Coturnix japonica: one gene and its partners. The protein of the gene in region 2 interacts with the protein of the main gene of each other region in a biochemical or structural test. Links are inferred from orthologs where the notes say so. Each region holds a gene or a part of one and is shown on either strand. Other genes may lie near its edges.

What was found. The genes of interacting proteins can lie anywhere in the genome.
Region 1: of the proteins of PRKN (region 2) and CCNE1, one has a biochemical effect on the other in vitro, tested with the Homo sapiens proteins (2 studies listed by BioGRID). The link is inferred for Coturnix japonica from reciprocal best matches to the Homo sapiens genes PRKN and CCNE1.
Region 3: the proteins of PRKN (region 2) and UBE2Z form a complex in vitro, tested with the Homo sapiens proteins (2 studies listed by BioGRID). The link is inferred for Coturnix japonica from reciprocal best matches to the Homo sapiens genes PRKN and UBE2Z.

Annotation. Positions count from the first base shown.
Region 1 is NC_029526.1:7,172,286-7,178,480, forward strand, and holds the start of CCNE1 (G1/S-specific cyclin-E1), read left to right. Parts: upstream 1-1,547; 5' UTR 1,548-1,882; coding exon 1,883-1,896; intron 1,897-1,987; coding exon 1,988-2,078; intron 2,079-2,224; coding exon 2,225-2,293; intron 2,294-6,195. Other genes in the region: uncharacterized protein F13E9.13, mitochondrial-like, read right to left, coding at 647-729, 1,219-1,291. UniProt on the Homo sapiens protein: Essential for the control of the cell cycle at the G1/S (start) transition.
Region 2 is NC_029518.1:40,120,304-40,128,081, reverse strand, and holds the start of PRKN (E3 ubiquitin-protein ligase parkin), read right to left. Parts: upstream 4,821-7,778; 5' UTR 4,710-4,820; coding exon 4,512-4,709; intron 1-4,511. UniProt on the Homo sapiens protein: Functions within a multiprotein E3 ubiquitin ligase complex, catalyzing the covalent attachment of ubiquitin moieties onto substrate proteins. Substrates include SYT11 and VDAC1.
Region 3 is NC_029542.1:3,064,576-3,070,796, forward strand, and holds the start of UBE2Z (ubiquitin-conjugating enzyme E2 Z), read right to left. Parts: upstream 4,649-6,221; 5' UTR 4,607-4,648; coding exon 4,275-4,606; intron 2,392-4,274; coding exon 2,319-2,391; intron 339-2,318; coding exon 151-338; intron 1-150. UniProt on the Homo sapiens protein: Catalyzes the covalent attachment of ubiquitin to other proteins. Specific substrate for UBA6, not charged with ubiquitin by UBE1. May be involved in apoptosis regulation.

The sequences.
Region 1 (6,195 bases), on a different chromosome or scaffold from region 2:
CAGCAGTAGCCTTCTCTTGCCTCCACCTAGAACGGTCAAAGCAGGAATGGCTGCTCCCATGGACTAGGATCCAAGGATTACAGTGGGCAGAGAAGGACCTAGGAGAATCTTTTGGTTGTAGAATAATGCTACTGCAGTACAAACACAAACTGTGGGGAAATCCTACAGCCTGTAGGCAAGTCATTCAGTACGTATGTCTGTGCCATGATTTCATGAACGCAGTGTGCCAAGCAGAGCTAAGTAAAGCAGCTTGTCAGACTGGATGATGAAGCATCCTACATCCAGATACCTAGAATGCCAGCAACAGTTCATATTGCTGTCAGTTTTCCATCTGTTTTATTTTTTTTTCTCTTTTATTGACTTGATTCTTGGGAATTGATAGTAATCCTATTTAAAAGACTCAAATTAGTTTGAATCTAAGCTTTTCCAGTTCCACAGGGTGTGTGTGTTGTGTAGTTCAGGTTTTGATACTTGGAGGGCCTACTTGTGTGGAAATAAAAGGTGCAGGTTTAAATGTCTTCCTGAACTCGGTGGTTTTAGGTGCTTTCCATGATTTCTAGGTCACTCAGACTCAATTCAATTCACTGGGTGTGCAGAAGCAGCTTTGTGTAAATACTGCCACGGGAAGAAGGAAACCAGGACTTACAACTCCAGCATCCTTGTAATCTTCTGCTTCTTGACAAGCTTGCTCAATTATTTGTGCCAACGGAAGAGAATTTCTCGGTGTCCCTGCAACAACAGTGCCATTTACCCCAATGTGAAGGCAAGCCATACAGCCAGTGATGCTTTTCTGATAACGCAGTTATATGCGCTGACATAATAAAATAGAGAGAAATGGGGTAAAACAGTTAAACGAGATGTGCTCCCCTTTGCTGAACGTCACAGCTCAGCTGTATCTGCTCGCTCCTGAAGCCACTCACAGATCTGAGGGTATTGATGCGGTGTTGTACCGGCACTTTCAGCTCTTTTACGGCCCGGCACACAGCCATGAGAACTCGGGCCGGACGCAGCACCACAGGGAGCCACGTGTCCGAGCTGTCCCGAGGCCTGTGCACTCCGCCCGGCCTATATCTCGTCATCCCTCATCTCTCTGAGCGCTCCCCCAGCGCTGCGGGTTCCCTCAGGTGCCCGTTCTTCCCCCGACCCCTACAGCCATGCCGCCCACTTTGCGAGCGGGTCCCGCAGCGCCGCGTGTTCCCCGTCCCGCCCCGCGCTCACCTGGCAGCGCAGCCACATGCACCACGCCGAGCACCGCCGCCCGCAGCCGCCCGAAGAGCCGCGGCCCCGCCATGGCAGCCCGTGTCTTTGGTCCCGCTGCCGTCGGCTCAGCCGCTCACCTCGCTTCACCCCTCCGCCGCGGGGTCGCGCCCGGGGCCTCCCGCCCCCCTCCCAGCTCCGCTTCCGCCCGGTGCCGCCGGCCCCGCCCCTGCTCACACCGTGTGATCCCGCTCCCCGCGGTGCCCCGCGCTCCCCCGGGGCCGGAGCGCGCCCGCAGACCCCGCCCCACCCGGGTGCCGGCCCCCGGCTCTGGGCGCGGGGCCACGTGTGCGGGCGGGAGGCGGCCCCGCGCCGCGCGTTTAAATGTCCCGCTCGGTGCGGGCCGCGATGTGCGCAGGGACGGGAGCGGCCGCGCCGTGAGGCAGGAGCTGCCCGCGGTTGGTGCCCGCAGTCGGTGCCGTGCCCCGCACGAGCTGCCCCGCCTCGTCCCCGCCGCCGTCGGGCGGGCACCGAGCGCCGCGCCCGCGCTGTGTCCGGGGAAGCTCCGGGGTGCTGAGCGCTCAGCGGGTCCCGGGGCGCGGCGGGGCCTTTCCGCGCCTCGTGGCTCTTTGTGGGGGCTGCGGCTCCCGGCTCCGCTCGTGCTCTCGGTCCGGCGGCGGGCAGCATGCGGAGGGAGAGGTGAGTCCGGCCGGCCCTGCGGGTAGGCCGGCTTCTCCGTTAGCGAGGCCGGGTGGGCGGCTCTTTCTTAACGCTTCTCGTTTCTTGGCAGCGACTGCGCGGAGGAGAAGGCTCCCGCCAAGGGGGAAGGGGGCGCCGAGGGGACCGTGCGGGCCCGCAAGAGAAAAGCCGATGTGGCCACGGTGAGTGCAGGCCCGGCGGGCGGCACGGCACGGCCTGGAGGGCGGTGCGGGCCTGGAGCTGCTCCCGCGGCCTTTTGTTGGGGGGTGGGTGGCCATGTGCTGCAGGGGGGGTGAGCGGCCCTAAATCCCTTCTTTTCTTTTTGTAGTTCCTACAGGATCCCGATGAAGAAGTTGCCAAAATTGAAATGAGTAGGAAAAAGCAATATGAAAGCCAGGTAATGACTGTGGCCTTAGATCACCTTCCTTTGGTCTTAGTAGCCTGTTGGTGCAGGATGTTGGTATTACACAGATATGCAGTTACCCCGTGTTGTGTGGTGGTGGTTGAGGGGACCACCAGCCCAGGCTGTTGAAGGCCACAAACCACCTTAGTGGCATGGCCTGCTTTGGAGCCTTTGCAAGGGATGAAGCCTACACTGCTTTAAACCATTACGTGAATGCTTCAGTGTACCTAAATGTCCCGGGGCTGCCAGGCTGTGCCCTACAAAAGCCTTCATACACACTTAGTTTTCCACACTGACGTACCTGGAGCCTTGTAGGAGTTCAGTGGTTCACTTACGTGCTGTATCCCGCAGGCCAAAGCATGCAGCCCTTTGGCACGCAAACAGAACCAAGTTTTGAGATGGATCTCTTTGTAACCCTGTCTTATGCTTACATATAACCTGGGAGAGAGGAAAGATCACTTGTTCCTCTTAGTTAGCTCTATTCTCATTGGCAAGTGTTTTTATTAGGTCGAGGGAGTACTTGAAGTTCCAGATTAGGAGTTTATAGTACTGGATACTACTGTGGTGGTGATGTGGGCTTTAGGCTTCTGCAGATGAAAGGGATGATTTGTTAAAAGCCTTTTATACTGTAGGCCAAAGAACAAATGAGGCTGCTCGCTGGGGTTGGTGGCCAGTGCCAGTTTCCAAATAGGACACTTGGCATGATCCAAGTTACTAAGTCAGACTGAACTCCAGTAGCATCCCCTAAACTTCTTAGTGCTGTTCTTAAGTTCTTCAATCTTGATACGTTAGTCGTGTTTATATTGGGTGCTTTATTGGTATCTGGTATTGAAAGCAAGATGCCTTTGTGCATTGAGATGCTTGCTCTAAATAAAAGAGCAAAATCAGCCTCTCGGAAGTAGGTTTATTCTTGTTTATGATTCTCTCCTGTGCATATGCACACACATGCTCACTCACTCTGTTGCAAGGACTTCAGCCAGTTAATGCACATGCAGGGTGATACTTAAGCTGCAAAAGTCATGATCAGGGAGTACAGACAGTACTCATTTGGTACGCGAGGCTATGCATAATGTGGCACATCTAACCAGAAGTGGCAGCTGGAAGTTCTAAGACTGAAGTGCTACCATAACAGATGGGCATCATTGTTTGGAATGGCCTCTGCTTGTTGCAACTGCGTACACTAGTTATCAGTCAACATATTAAGCAGGGCTCAAATGGTGAGCATTTAATGAGGGGATCTCTCCTTCCCTTCTGTCTTTCTTTTGTGCAGTATATTAAACTAATTTCTCACTACTGACAAGGAAGAGCTGCCTGTCCTTCACTGCAGACCCCTCCTTTAGCAAAACATTCTGGAAGAGCTTCTAATAAATGTTTATTCCATAATAATAAGGTACCATTGAAAAAACCCTTATTGCAATTGTAATTTGAAAAGCGGCTTGAAATATATTTTGCATACATTGATCTTCAGCTTTGGAAGTAGATACAGGGATACAGGCTTCCAATTTACTGGGGCTTTTTCTTTTTTCTTTTTCTTTCTATATGGTGTTGCTATTAAATGCTACTTCAGGAACGATAGGTATAGCAATATTCAGATAACTCAGGCAGGAGGCATCCAAAGTATTAATTTAGGAATTTTCCAAGCTGTCTTCAGGACGCTGGTGGGACTTTGGCCCTTTGATTCTGTAAACTGTAGATAAAAATGGATACCTGTGTATCAGTCTCTACACAGAGAAGGTTTTTTTGTTATGACAAAGTAGCCAGATTGTTACAGATCTGTTTAAAAAAGCTAACATTTGGCTGCACAGCAGCAGCTCTTCAGTCTATGGCTTGACACAAGCTATTCTCTGATATAAATTGCCATGGGCCACTAATGAGAATATGTTTATGGTTCCAGCAGCAGTATCGCAGGCTTGTATGATAGCCAGTGAGATAGTTATTCTGTTGAGGCACAACAATTCTAAAATGCAAGCAGCTATAAATCCTCTGCAGCCTGTTCCACGTGACTTCTACATTAAATAAACTGTTTACTGACACTAGGTTATACATGAGGCAAAATATCGTAGTCACATCCCACTTTATGGCATCTTCATAGTCAATTCATTAGTTTGCTTCTGTTGAACATAAGGCCTGAGTTCTTAATCAGAATGCTGTTACCCTTTATGTGATGGGAGGGTGGCTATATCATGAGGTTTGTGACAGCGGAATATTGCATCAATTCTGTGTTTGATTTTGGAGAACTGGCACTGCTGTCATTCTGTAAGCAATTCTCATATTAATTCTGGCTGCTTTCTATGGATGGATACACTTCCAAGGCTTTGCATAAAGCAAAGTTCATTTAACTTGATGAGAGTAATCCATGCAATTATGATAGAAAATGCGTGTTCTCCTGAATCTAGAGTGGAGAACAGAAACCAGAAATGATAAGAAATCTTGGGATGGGGCTACCTAATCTTTTTGGATAGAAAGGAGACAGAGCAAGCTTTCGGTAATCAGTTTTGATCAATTTCTCATTAGCCACTTTTCCATATTCTAGTCTTACTGTTGTCAAAATTTTCTATCTAATGATCTTAAAATGTCCTCTGAAGAGATTCTTTAACAAGCCTAGGTTGTTTCTGAAAGGTAAAATTAAAGAAACAAAACAAAAATGCAGCAGTGACTACAACAAAAACCTCATGCACTTACACAAGTGAACAATGTTACCTATATCCAAGTTGAGAGCCTGGCTTGGCCCCAATATTGGCAGGGCAATATTTAGACTCTTTCAAAGCCTATAAGTGCCAGAAGTTCCTATGCTGTTCAAAATGAATTGGAATGACTGAACTGTTGCTCTTCTTTCTCCTCTTCATTTAATAATTCTGGAATCTCTTTCTCATGGAAAAGCCCTGTACTTCAACCTCTGATGCTTCCTGTGAGTGAAAATTGACTTGAATTGTAGGTCTTAATGCTTTCTGATGGGCAGAGTAAGGCTGCAATCTAATAGTTGAAGTCTGTCTGCTCAGAAATGCTACATTTTGAGGTGAGACAACCTGACTTGGCTGACTTCTCCTGCTTGTTTGGGTTTCCATACTGAAAATCCAGGGACGCTGCTGTTTTTAGTGCAGTTCTGGGTTACTGTCATTTCCAACCCTCCTGTTGGCACCTTTTGCCCCTAGTAACTTTACTGGTGGCTCTGAGGGGCACAGGTGTCTCAGAACCTTGTGTGGCTGATTTCCTGAAGGCTCTGACTGCCACAGTGATCCAAATGGCCGGTACCTGCTCCATTTGGCGGCTGGCCTATGTGCCCAAAAGGTGTTGCAAAGTTCCACTTCAGTCAGTGTTTGGTACATGGTGACATGCTACAGAAAAATGAGGTATGGGAATCAGCTGCTGTGTTCCAGGTGTTTCTTCTAATGAGTGTTCTCATGTCCTACCTGTATCTAGTGCCTCATGTGCTTTAGGGCTTGCACTGTGCCAGCCCAGAGGAAGCTCTTCCGGATTGCCTCCCACCCTCCTCACCTTAAACTGTTTCACTTTCAGTAGCAGCTCAGCAGTCCTTTTATTTCCTTATGTTTAGTATGCGGTGTTCTGCAATTTCTTGATACTACTGCTTGGTTTCAGCTGAATATCTTGCTCAATCTGCTCTAAAGAATCAGGAATCTAATAAGCTCATCCACTCGACCAAAATACGTATAAAAACTGTGGTGTTTTTTCACTTCAGCTAATTCAGACTTCTGTCTCCTTTCTTGCTTTTGAAGGCCCTGCTTATTTGCTTCCATTCTTATCTCTGGCTGAGCTACGTGCTTCACTGTTACTTGTGTTCTCCCCCAGTTATATTGGTGAACTGTTATCTAGCAGCTTTGTTTTCACATTTAAGACATCTAAAAAAGTCTTGAATCTTGATTTGTTTCCTTATAGAA
Region 2 (7,778 bases):
TCAGATTGACTCAAGATACACACACAAAATCATTTCCTCTCTTTGAATTCCAACGTAGGATGATTGACTCAGGCAAAATGCCTGAGAGCAAATCTCTCCAAACAGCATTTACATATACAAACGTTGGCTCCGCTGTAATCTGTAAGCCTGCAAACTGCCAAATGTAGAGGATGTTCTTTGAGTGATTTGGTGTGGGGCTCTGTAAAATGCACTGCCACTTCTGTATTTCAAGGTGTCAGTTAGATTCTTAATGTTCATGGGTTTATTACTAACATCAAGCACACAGTTTTTTGCTGGTTAGAGACATACTTTGCATTTACTATAACCAAGTTTTTGCTTTGTACCTTCAGCAAAAAGAAGTCAGAAAATCTAAAAAGTACTGGAAGCTCTATTATACTGCGTTGTGCTTTGAAGTAAGAAAGTTGCCATACACTTACTTGCACAAGGCCTTTCCAAACTATGCAGTGTTCCAGTCTGCTAAGCAAGTTGTTTTGAGGGATATCTACTGAGATCCTTTGTCACAAGGAGCTCTGCCTGGCTTTGAGCTTTTCACACAAGGATAAGGCTTTCAGTAGAACCAGGTGCTCTAATTATTGAGCTCTAATGCCTACCATTCAGAAACTGCTCCACAACAAAGCATATCCTTTCCAAACCACCGTAACAATTCAGCACTCTACAATTATTTATAGCACCATTTCCATAGAATCATAGAATGGCCTGGGTATTTCCCTCCTAACATTTCTTTTTTTCTATCTTGTGTAGAAGTGACCATCTATGTCATCATTGCCTTTCACTCATTTTTAGTTATGCTCACCAACCCACACACCAAAATTTATTAATGCTTCTAGTCATCACAGTTCTTTTTTGAACACATGTATAAATAACATTAGAAAAGCATCTACATGGATATATGCAGTCCAAGACAAATTCACAAAAAGCTTATGACCCAAGGCTTGAGACTGTGCTCCTGCCAAATACAAACCCTCAATGATATGGAAGATTCCGTGGCAAAGCATATGCTAAAGCCAGCTAGTCCTACTACTACTAATCATATCCTTAGTCTCCACCTGTCTCAGAATTGTATTTTCCACATTTACCTGACAGAAGAAAAAGCATCTAAAAGAAATGGCTTCAGATTGGGAAACAGAAGACTTAATTCTACCCCTCTTCTGCTGACTTTGAACAAGCTATGAATTCCCATCACATCATTTGTGTATAAACTATGCCAGGCAAGGAATCTCTCTTGTTTGCCATTTGCAAAGTTTCTCTACACAAGTGGATTTTGATTTCTCCCAGAAAAGGCAAGCCTATATTAATATAATACTGCTTCTAGTATTAACATTAGTAAATTTCAAATAAGTGCATTGAGCAAAATTGGATATTTATCTATCTATCTATATATATATGTATTGCTTCCAGAGAGCTTAACTGATTTTCTAGTCTTGGAGGCAACAGTAGTATTTCTGTAAGCAGCAGTCATCTCTCCTTTAAATATTTCAGTGTTCCTAATACCCAGCCATCACCTTCTTATTCCTTTGGTGAATTTGCTATGACTGAGTTCTTCTTTTGCCCTTCTGATTGACATAAAAACTCTTACCAGTGTTCTCATATACCCATGATCGTCTTCTGAAACATTTCCTACTTTGAGTATATATTAATTAATTACTTCTATTCATTCCAAAGTGAACTGTAATCAGCAGGGAGCTCTTCATCATTCTTCAGGATATTTAGCACCCTTAAAGTGACATCATTTGCTGTGCTTTTATGAAGCAGGTTATTGCTCTAATTCCTTCCTATGAGATCCAAATTTTGCAAGTCTCATTCTTCACCCAGTCATTACCAATCTTTTCTTAGCACGGCTCTAATTTCACTACTTGCTCCTTTGTCACTAGCAGAGATACTGATCTCCCTTGTGTACAGTTGAATCATTGTCTAATCTTTCTCTTTTTTCAAGGACAAAACACCAATCTGCGCTACCAAATTAAATGTCTCCACACATATTTCACTCCTGTCGTTCCTAGATATTTTGTACTGTTGTTGTTCTCAAATTTTTCACTTATGTAAAGATCTCAAGTTGGCATTTTCTTCCTTATCCTTATTTCTCTCTAATATTTGTCCAGTCAGCATGCATTTCTCTTCTACAGTATTCAGCTACCATGAAAGATTTTTCCATTCTCTCTGAACAGGAAAACAAATGTAGTTTTCACATTTTCAGTTGTGTTCTGTATCACCTGCACGAGATCCCAAAGTAGCTGTCAAGCCAAATCTAGCAGTTCTGCAAGCTGTGAAACCAGTAAACTTTGTTATCCAGGGATATATTTCTTATATCCCTGCCCCACACTCCTAAGATTATCCCAGCTCATTCCAAATCTCTAAATTCTCCCACAGTATCCTGGGTAAGTAAGCACAAAAGTAATTTATAAAAACAAAAGGAAAAAATGGTCTAATTAGAAATTCTAAGCTACCAAGAACTAAGATTCAGCCATGTAAAAATGTATGTTGTGTTTTGTTTTATTTTATCTGCATGCAAATCATTAGGTCCAGAAAACAACTGTTATTAATTTTCTTCTATGTGATGTTAACTCTGATATTACAGATGCAACATTAATGCCAGCAGTTACTATTTCACTAGCACTCAGCTGCTTATGCAAAAAGCCCCAAATTGCCTTCTGTAGGAAAAGTCAGATATATCAAACCATCTACCATTCTTCTTGTGTTGACAATTTCTACAATGAATAGATAAAAACAATTAAAATAATTAAATACCAGGAATAAAAATCTTGTTGACATGTTGGTATTAATCATTGGATTATGTAAGGCACTTAAATACACAAATATGGATTATGCCACCTGAAATAGCCATTTTACATCCTATATGCTTTAGAAAATGAAAGTCACAGCAATGAACATAGATCCGGTTTATTAGTAAGACTTGGCTACACTTGATAATTCTGTCATTCCTATTAAATAAATTAAGCAAATAGTCAGCAGGCTTCTATATCCAAAAAGCACATTTTAATTTGCACAGCAAAGCATTGTATGTTGTAACTGACAGCAATTTTTTTTAAAGGCAAAAAACATGATTCAATGTCTGTGACATAAAATAGCAGTAACACCAATACCTACAGCTGCTCAGGAAACACTAGGAGTTCATAAGCTTAGGACAGGATAACACAGACAACCAGAACTAGCAACTGGTATCTGGTAATTTCCACTATTTTTCTTCTCACATGTGAAAAAATATAAGTGAAATACACTGCAGTTTACATCACAAATATATGCATCAATGCTATCTATAGGTTATGCATTGTGGACTGACAACAGTTCATATTTCTGTATTGTGTTCTGTCCTAAAACACACTAAAATCCTTTGCAAAATATTGAGTATCTTAACCACAGAGAAATAGGACGGGTCATTAATACAGTAGTAACCCTTCTGTACCCAGACTTAGCATCCATTTTAATTACAGAAATACTTCTGAAACACGACTGCTAATTAACATGAAATACTTCTGCCTGTGAGGGACCTTTTATATAATCACCTGCAGTAGTAGAGACTGTGTCTGTTATTTTGATACAACTGCAGAAGGATAGCAGTTTCATTAAGGCAGTAAATTCAAGAGCACTCTATTCAAAGGCCTTTAGGTTTTCCTATGTTCCTACATGTCTTAGATGTATGATCTTATGCTAACCCCTTCCTGAACATACTCTGAAATTCACATTCACTACTCATAGTATAAATAAAAACAATGATAAAGCAACTGTGGCAGCACTGGGAAGAGTAGTAAAGAGTACAAGGAAGAGAAAATTGAACCTATATTTCCATGCTTACTACAGCTCATCACAGATGAACAATTCTGCACTTATTGAACTGAACAGCTACCTAACCTTGAAAAACTGAAATTCAGATACCCACTTATAGCCATTCTTCCACACTCCTTGCTGCTCTCAGTTTCACACATTTATGAGCTTGGTGGTTTGGATCACACTTCCATGAGCTTTTTAGAACTGGAACCATCATTCCAGCAGTGCGTTCACCTGTGTATGGCACACGGCAGCATTCAGAACAGCAGCAGCAGCCCTGTAGCTATCCTCCAGGGGTCACAATTGGGTTACAAATTCTACAGAATGTGCTGACCGTGCAGCCTGATCTGAAGCAATTTATTCACATCCTTCTTCATTAAGATTCAAATGGAATAAGTAAAATAAAAATTGAACAGATACAGAAATTGTGCATGGCTTGCTTCTGTAGTCAGTAAACATTTATTCACTAGGCACAGCTCTCTCCCATACTCTCTCACTCATATGCTCTCCCTATCCTTCCTGCTTGCTGTTTTAATGCATAATTAAGAAGGTCAGAATTAATGAAGCAGTGTGGAGTAAAGTTCAAGGAATCCCCAGGCACTATTTATTCTATTAGATCTCAGGAATGAATGTCAGATTGGCAGCATTAGAGGCAGAGGCAGCAGAGCTGGCAGCAGTCCAGGAGCAAAGCTACCACAGAGGCTTACCTGCAGCGTTAAGTCGTTGCTGAGCTCTCTCCCTGCAAAGATCACCCGCAGCTGGTCAGCTGGAACTCCCTGTCGCTGCGCAACCGCCTCCTTCAGCTGGAGGATGCTGGCTTCCAACCCAAGCTCCACCGGGAAGCCATGGCTTGAGTTGAACCTGACAAACACTGAAAAAGAGAAAACACCTTTTAAAGCAAACATTTCTCACTGCCGGTCTGTACTAGAGTGACTACAAGTGGCTTATTTGTCAATTTCAGAGAGCACTGACTGTTTTAAGAGAAAAGCTACTAATACTGTAGTGTATAATTTGGAAAAGAGGAACTGTATGGGATTTCCCTTCACAGAATAGCTAGTGACTAATAAACAAAAGCCACGTGCTTCCCCCAGCAGAGCTATAAATTGAAGAGAAACATCAGAACCAAAAGGGACCCATCCAGCCAGCAGTCCAGGCAACCACTAAGTCCTGGAACAAATCTCTGATCCACAACTGACCTTAACAGACACAGGACACACACACTTTCTATGCCCCTTGTGCTCTTTCCTGCTGCACGTAACAAATGCATGCAGAAAACTGAGTTTTAGAGCTAAGTTACATTAAATAATACTAAGCAAAACAATTCACTGTTATACTGCAGAGCACGGTCACATAAATTGGTTCCCCACAGATACAATTCTGTGGAAGGTAATGATGGAGAGAAAAATCACACGCTAGCAGAAATGTTTGGGAGTGTTGTATTACACTGTGGTCTTTTCAGAGTTCACTAAAACATCTGCAGTACATAACTCCTGCTGGCATGTTCCTTCAGTGCAGGAAATCACTACCGCACTCGCCATATCATTTTTAGAGCTGCAGAGAGTGGTTTATATATCCTGAGAAGCCTGGCAAATAAACTCATGAGCTTACAGCCATTCAGCTGGCAGTGTTGTTTTTCACAAGGGTGCTGAATGTGCTCATTGAGCCCTTGACCAGGGGAGTGACTACAAGAACTATGCAACAAGAAAAGCTTGACTACATCCATACCAGTCACTAAGGCTGCATAAACAGTACACTCAATCCCAGTGGGCTGCTTCAGCCAATAAACAGTTCCACTAGCACAAAGCAAAGGAATTAGCAAGTAATATAAAGCAATAAAATCATTTGTATCAATTAGTCACTGGCTACCTGACATTTGAACTGTTTAGGTATTGATTGCAATAACCATCCCTCTTGAAGATTTCCCATTCCCACTGCAATGTTCTAACTGAAGACATACTCCTTTGAATTTTTTATGAGTGACAGATGCATAAATTCAAAAGTGCTCATACAGTTTGAGGAAATCTATTTTTAAACTGACAATAGGATCAATGATTTTCCAAACACAAAGTGTACCTGACTGCTGTAAAGGAGTCAAATGCTTTAAAAGCATGCGAATATAGTTGAGAATGATGGCGATTTTTTGCTGAGCAATGAACGTTGTAAATATTTGCAATTTTACACCTTTAATATAGATTTTGCTATTTCTGGATAATCTTTAAGGCCATAGACCAATATATTTTTTTACACAACATTTTGAGTTTTGCACATCCTCTAAATTTACTAAAAACCAGGATAGGATTACATAACACCGTGTCAGGAGGAGTGCAGTACATACGGCCTACAATGTGTTACAGAGTCTCCTGCAGTACATCTTGTTACTGGGTTTGATTTCTATATAAAGATGTTCTGGAAATAACTGAAATGTGCAATTCTTGTATATGGATTTTTTGAAAGAGTGAGTGTATTTTGAATTTTAGTTTGATTGCAGTTTGAGAAGTAAAGAGCAAAATAGAGGGCAAAAGTAGTTCCAACTACTGAACACTTCCTGCATTCCCAGGAACACTCAAAATGCTCAACTATGAGTAACATTATATTACTGATATTACATAACATTATATTGATCTGTACTTAAAACAACAGGGTATATAATTCATTTATCTGCTAAGGTGGGACTATCTACATGTACATATATACAAAAGGATACACTCACATACACACCTAATACCTGCATATGTGCATTTCCAAGGACATATTCCTATCTAGGAAATTATGCTATTTTCCTTTAGTCGTATGAAAACCAGTGTTTTGGCTCTGCAAATCAAACACTCTGATAAGTGCAAAATGCTTGATAAAGTAACAAAGAAGCGATGGAGAATTTAAATGACTTCTATAGTAGTACTCTCTTTCCAAAGACAGGTACATTCAACACACTTACTGCATGCTGCAGCAGAATTGCCAGATCATGCCCTGAACCAAGAGTTTGGCACCAGGTGAGAAGGCATGGCTAAACCAGGGAGCTCAGGTGTAAGCAGTGCACCTGTGTAACTGGAAGGAGCAGAGCCTGGATCCACCCTTTCTCACCCTCATTTAAGAGTTAGAAGCTGAGGGAGCAGTATGTCTACAGACAGCGATTAAGCTCCTCTTGAGCCATCATTGGTTGTTGGAAAGGGTGAGCTACTTTTTCTTCTGTACTCTGTAGTGCTTGTATCCAATTAGAAGGGTCTGTCATTGCCTTCTTTAACCATACACAAACATAATTCATGCTCTCCATCAACAGCTGCCATCCCTTTCCCCATGCATGTTTTCATTCATCACTAAGAGGAACAGTCTTCCCCCTTCCAATACGTACAACAAAGCAGAGCATCCATCTCACAATTCTAATACAAGCATATTTTCCTGGCAAAATGCCCTTCTGTATGTTTTGCACCAGGTCTAGCAATTACAGACTGACAGATGTACATACAACAAAGTTAATCATGACTTCATGAATTAACAGTCATTGCTGAGCCACGATACCTGGCTGCACTAAGACTCCTCTATTACTATTGTAAAATAAAATGCAGTAATGTAGGCCAGCTTCAGAGCCACAGCAGAAGAGCATACACAAGTAATAAGGAGCAACTAATTTAGCTAGACTATTTTGGTTGCCTCTGATAATTTGTAAATTACCTTCACCTTACAAATGATTTTATGATGTAGTCACACACAGAGAGCAACACAGTAATCAAACATAAACAGCGTCTATAAAACCTCATCCTTAGCAAGGTTATTTCTCTCCTTAGCAAAAGGATAAAGTGTCTCACAGAAGCATCTTTATTTCTAGTTAGCTAAATGAATACCATAAAGAGTGTAAAAGTGTTCCTTGATTAGTTACTCAAATTTTTATATTTGATTTCTGTTTTATATCCATTTTAAACAGAAGTCATGATTGACTTTTATTCAGACAACTATTTATGACAGAGCCATATGGGAGC
Region 3 (6,221 bases), on a different chromosome or scaffold from region 2:
CAGTGCATAACTTCACAGAAGCATAAAGGTGCATCCAAGCATGTTTGGGGCAAGATCAGGGCACAGCGTGTTGAGAAAGATGTGCGAGGCACAGTGCAGCCTGTGGCTACCTCCTGATTTCCCACCAAAACAGCCAAAGTCTCCTCTTACCCTAGAATACTCAGGCAGACTTTCCCATTGCGGTAGAAGTTGGGGTTAAACCTCACTGTGTTATTTCCCGTTGTCATCAGTTTGACCCTTGGCGGGTGGATGGGATAATCTGGAGGACAGCGAAACAGGAACAAGAAGAAACCCCCTTCATAAGGCGTGTCAAATGGGCCTGTGATCAATGCATGAATCTGGAAAACAAAAGCCCATCTTGCGCACCACTTCAAAATTGTGCAGCACCATCAAATCCTCAACAAAGCCAACCGAAGGCAAGAAACCTCCACCCAGGCATGGACACAGCACCTTCCCCAAGCACACGCCACGTGCAGGCCATACACAACCCCCCTCCCCTTCCTTCCCTCCTTTAGCCAGAGCCACTGCTGCACACTTCTCTCCCCTCTGCCACACTCAATGTGCAGAGCAGGTTTCCAACACGAGGTTTGGCCACGGTCCACAGCAGCTGCCTCCCATACATCTCGACACAGCCCAAAGCAGACTGAATCACAGTTCAGCTGGTAAGCTCTGCTTTAAAAAGCTTTCAAATATGGGGAGGGGGGGAAAAAAAAGTCTAATTTTAGCATGGAAAAAAGGCAGATTTTTCCACCAAAACCAGAACATTCCTCAATTTTATGGTCTCGTGCTGATTTGGTTTTATTGAAACCAATCATTTAATTACTTCTGCCAGGATCTAAAATTAAGACCCCATGCTCCCCTCGCTAATTACCTTCTAAAAAATCTCAGTTGCATACCAGGAAATCTGCTCCCATTGGGCTATTAGGGAAGCTTCCTCCTTTTCCATCCTCCTGAAGCGATCCAAGCAATCTCCTTTAATGATCCTCTCACCCACCTAGGATGTTAGTTAAAAACCCCAAGGCTGCTGTTCTACAAACCCGCATTCCTGCTGAAGGGCATTTTGGCACTTTCAACCTCCAAACCGAGGGAGGTCAGAGCTCCAGCAAAATGCCCAAGGTCTGAGTTGTCTGCACACAGACACTCCCTTTGTGCTGTCTCCAAAAATCCAAGAGCCCTAAGCCAGGCAGGTGCTCACACTGAGGGAACCAAGGGAGTGCCAAGTCTGTCAAGGGGGGTGAGAGAAGTGTGCAGCAGAGGAGAAACCAAAGCAACCCCATCCACACACACATACACACATAGAGCTTTCTCAGTATCCAACACAGCCAGATGAGGTGACACTGGCTGGAGAAAGGCAGCATCAGCCAAGGAATGCACTGGATCAAGATCACTGTTTGAGCAACATCAGCCTCTAAGATCACTGCAATCTCTCAGGTGTAATTGGCAATTCCCTATCCTGGAAAATCCCTAGAGCCAAGCAGCCAGGAGGGGAAGAACTGGAGCAGGAGAGACAAGAGACACACCTGGCCCCAGGGAACAGATGTGCTGGAGATGATGTGATGGGAGTAGCTATGCAGGTCAGATCTGCATGAGCTCATGGAATTGTTTGAGTTGGAAGGGACCTGTAAAGGCCAGCTGGTCCAACTCTCCTGCAATGAACAGGGACACCTACAGCTCAATCAGGTGCTCACAGCCTGGTCCAACCTGACCTCAGGTACTTCCAGGGACAGGGGCATCCATAACCTCTCTGGGAGAGAGGCTGTTACCTGTTAGAGCCAGGTAGGCAGCTCCACAGCAGGACAGGATCTGGGCCCAGGGTTTAATCCCACTATCAGGTCACAACAGTTAAACACCTCTGCCTTCTGCAGGTGACTTACATATAATTTCCAGTGACTGAGATATGTTCCTCATTTCCAGCCCCTCACAAAGCCCCCCCATGGCCAAGAGATTTCCACAGAGATCTCTCTGAGCTAATCTAGTGATTCTTTTTCAAGCATCTGTAGGGGAAAGAACAAGCTGGATTGGCACTCTGCTAGTCCATAGGGACACAAAATAGGGCTGTCTTTATCAGTGGAAACTCCTCAGGTTCCTGTGATGGTATCTCTCCACAAAGCCATTTTTAACTTGACAGCCTCCTCCTATTTAAATACAGCCCAGATCGTCACCAAGAAACCCAGAGCTGCGCTGTGCTCTTACAAGACTCACCCTGACTTCTCTCAAAACAAGAAGGGATTACACCATTTGGGAGAACCCTCAGAGCAGCCATCAATAGCAACATATAGAAGAGTAGGATCATGAACTCATTCCAAAGTGTCTCTTACCTTGGTCATGTCATGGGGATCAGGCACAACAAACATTCCCGGGGGTGGTTCCTTGTAAATAGACATAATATCCCTGGAATAAAGGAAACAGGAATTAGTCAAGATCTCCCTTGGTGTTGATCAGCCCTTGAGGCGTGGAATGTTCCAGTGGACAAATCTGTGTAGAGATGCAAAGGGACAGAATTAAGATGGGAATCTGCAACTCAAAGTGGTGGATGTTGGGGTTTTTTGGAGTCTGTTTCTCGGCTGAGCTCTCTTAACTTATCCTAAACAGTAGCTGAAGAGCACAAGCAGCATTCAATGAATAGTGAGGCATCAGACCTCAGCACCTTGGCAACACGCTGCCTTGCATTTTACACCATAACCTAACAATTAACAATAAATTTCTCCTAAGGTCAGCATGAAAAAGCTCTCATTGGTGAATATTGTTGCCTAATAGAAAACTTTACCTCCCTGTTTTCTCTCCATACACATGGACTATTTACAAAGTCCCTCCTATAGACCCATTCACTTTTTTCCCCCATCATTACAGTACCTGGACCGTGTCTGAAAACATTACTGCTCTGTCAAGTTTGATTTTAGTCTGACAGTGGGTTCAACTGCTATTAGGAGACATGGACACACACACAGCTTAAATCACAACAGTTTTATTTCCTGGACTAAATGAACTGAAAAAGAAGGAGATTACCAAACAGCACCCATCAACTTTTATTGCCAAAAAGCTCCCTATCATAATCAGAGCTTCACAGTACTCTGGGACAAGCTACCACTAGACCTGTTCAAGAAGCAACCAGAGTTAAGAGAGGTTTCAGGGCAATAACAAAGTTTGAGAACAACAGGAGAGTTTTGCCTTCCTACTTCACATGATGAAGTTATTGCTTTCGGTGCTTGGATGGAAAACTGCCAGAATATCTGGTGCCATCTTTGGAAGACGTTAGACTAGCTCTAGAACAAGCAACAGAACAAGGATGAGCAAGAGCCTGGCAGGCAGCAATTCTGTTCTGAAGGAAGAGGAAGAACTTGCTGACACAGTGCCAATATCTCTAACAATAAAAGACAGTATTGCTCATGGTATCAAAGGCTATTGACACACCAGGTTTAACCAGATGATCCTTCAAAAGTCAGAGCAGCCAAATGGGTGGGCACCAACCAGGAAAGGATTGTTACCGGCAGGTTTAGGATAACATCTTGCAAAGCTCAACTGCTGATGGGGACAGAGGAGCTCATTCTGCTCCCATTTAACAGCACCTTCAAGGAGCACGCTGCAATCCTGAGGGCAGGATGAGGGCAATGTGTCACAGTGTGGTTGCCAAAGGCCACAGCAAGAGCAGGAGGAGGATGAGGATATCCCAGAGGGGCTGTGGCCTTCATCCAAACCCCTCAGCACAGAGCCCTGGGGCTGCACCTAAAAGAGCCCTTGGGCATGGTAATGAATTATAGAATCATTATGGTTGGAAAAGACCACTTAGATCCACAAGTCCAAGTCCAGCCCACCCCCAAACCACATCCCTCAGTGTCACATCTTCATGGTTCTTGAATCCCTCCGGGGATGGTGACTCCACCATCTCCCTGTGCATCCTTTGCCAGCGCCTCATTAGGAGACAATTCCACTTTAGGAGGAATTTCTCCTAATACCCAACCCGAACCTCTTCAAGCACAACATAAGGAAACCACCCCTCGTCTTACAGCTTCTACCTGGCACAGAGGGCAACCCCCACATCCCCACTATGTCCTTTAAGGCCACTGTAAAGCAATAAAGTCTCCCTCAAGCCTCCTCTTCCACCAGGGGAACCCATAGACCAGTCCACAACCCCGAACCCAACCGAACCCCCGCAGACCAGTTCCCATCGCCCTTGAGGAAGGCAGGAGGCCCCACACAACAACCGGGTTTCCCATAGATCTCTATGGACCGGGAGAAGCCGGGTAGGCGGCCCCGAGGCAGGTCGGCCCTCTCACCGTTTGATCCGCAGCAGACAGGCCGAGCTGGGCCTCTCGCTGTCCCAGTCCCCGCTGACCGTAGGGTCCCAAAAGGCGGAATGAGTGAGGAGTGCGGCCCCCGCAGCCGCCGCCGCAGCCGCAGCGATGGGAGCTCCGCCGCTAACCGGGGCCACGGTGGCGGCCGGCGGTGAAGAGCCGAACCCTGCGGCAGCCCATAGTTCGGCTGGGATGAAGACGCCGGGGTTTCCCGTTCCGCTTCCCGAACCGGTCGAGGTGCCCCCGCTACCGCTGCCCGTCGTTGCCAGCACCGAGGCCGGAGCCGCATCTTCGGCGGCCGGACTCTCCGCCATTCCGCGGCCGGCCTCGGAGAACGCCGCTTACTTCCGGGACTCCGAACCAACGAGTCGCTCGGCTAGAGCGGCCACCGCCTCGCACCTCCTTCCCAGAGCGTCACCCCCAACTCCCCCCCCCGCTCTGCCCTCCCACTACCAACCCCCCCCAACTGCCATAGAGTCACATTGCGGTACCAGAGCGGCTCTTCCGCTGTGACCGCCCCCTGGTTCTGCACCGCCGCGCTACAGCGCCCCCTGCTGTGATGGCGGACTGCAGAGACAGTAGCATAGCTCATGGAAATTGGAGATTTTAGAAGCTTTATATTGAATTATCTGCTACTGAGATGCTGAGAGATGATGCTCAGCCATCAGTGAAGCCATTTGACTCCCTGCCATCCTCAGGGATACACCAAATAATTTGCTTGAATCCATTTCACACCCGGCATCAAGAAGAAACGCGATGCAACCCAGATTACCCTGTTAACCCAGGTCAGGTTATGCAGCAATGTGATGTGAATACAGCTCAAACACCACGTTAACATCAAGACCGAATGTTCCCAGAGACCTTCAGTGATAGATTTGCCTCCACGCTTCAGTGGGAGCACTGGGAGCTCCCCCCATGGTCAGTCTGCCTCCCTCTGACTCACTGCTGTGATGCACTATAGCCTCTCACTAAAGGAAATGTAAAAGAACAAGTTAACTTGTGTATCATGCTGTCTGTCAGCAGGGGGTTTTGCATGGTTAACAGCTCAACCTCAGCTGGAATAGAAACCCAGGCATAGAACAGGGTCCTCTCTGAGCCATTACGTACTTGTTCCCACTCAGCACCCTCTGAATGTACAAACCTTCCTCTTGTTCAGCTCATGGGCTTTTCCTGACCATCCTGTTCTCCTAATAATGGATTTATTTGCTTGTTGTTTTGGGGCAGAAATCAAAACCCTTCTCCAATTCACATTGACATTACAAAGGAACAGAGAAGTTACTGATATCCGTGTCCCCAGGAAGGTCACAACCACACATCAGCAGCTTTAGCATACACAGACACTGCATTAATTCAATTACCTAAAGCTGATAACCGGACAAGCTTCCCACATGGTTACCTTCCTTAAAGGCACAGCTGTCTTACACTGGGTCCAAGATTCAGCTTAGACCTTAGAACTCCTCCTTGCTCAGTGTGCTCCAAGCTCTGAAATAGCTGAGGCATGCAACTGTTGAGAAAGAAATAACACAGTCTGTGCTCCTGTGCTTAAACCAATGCTTTGAAGAGGCCTATGAACAGCGTGACCTTGAAACCATTTTTCCTTTGTTCATCTCAGATGGGAACGTATATCCTTGTGTACTTGCACAATGTGTCATTTCACAACCCAAACACCTTTAATACACTCTATGCACACTCACCTGTACCCATCTTATTTCAATACCATAACATTCAGCAATATTATATGGAGAAAACAATGCTCTGTCAGCTCAAATATAAGAATTTGCTTTATTATTAGAGCAATGCTTGCTGGGACTGTCAGATAGATCTGACACAGTGTTTGAGCTGCACAAGGACACCCCCTTTTATTAGGCTGACTTCATTTTTCTCTCTTGTTACCACCATTGCACATTCCCACTCTGTTTTATCAGTAGA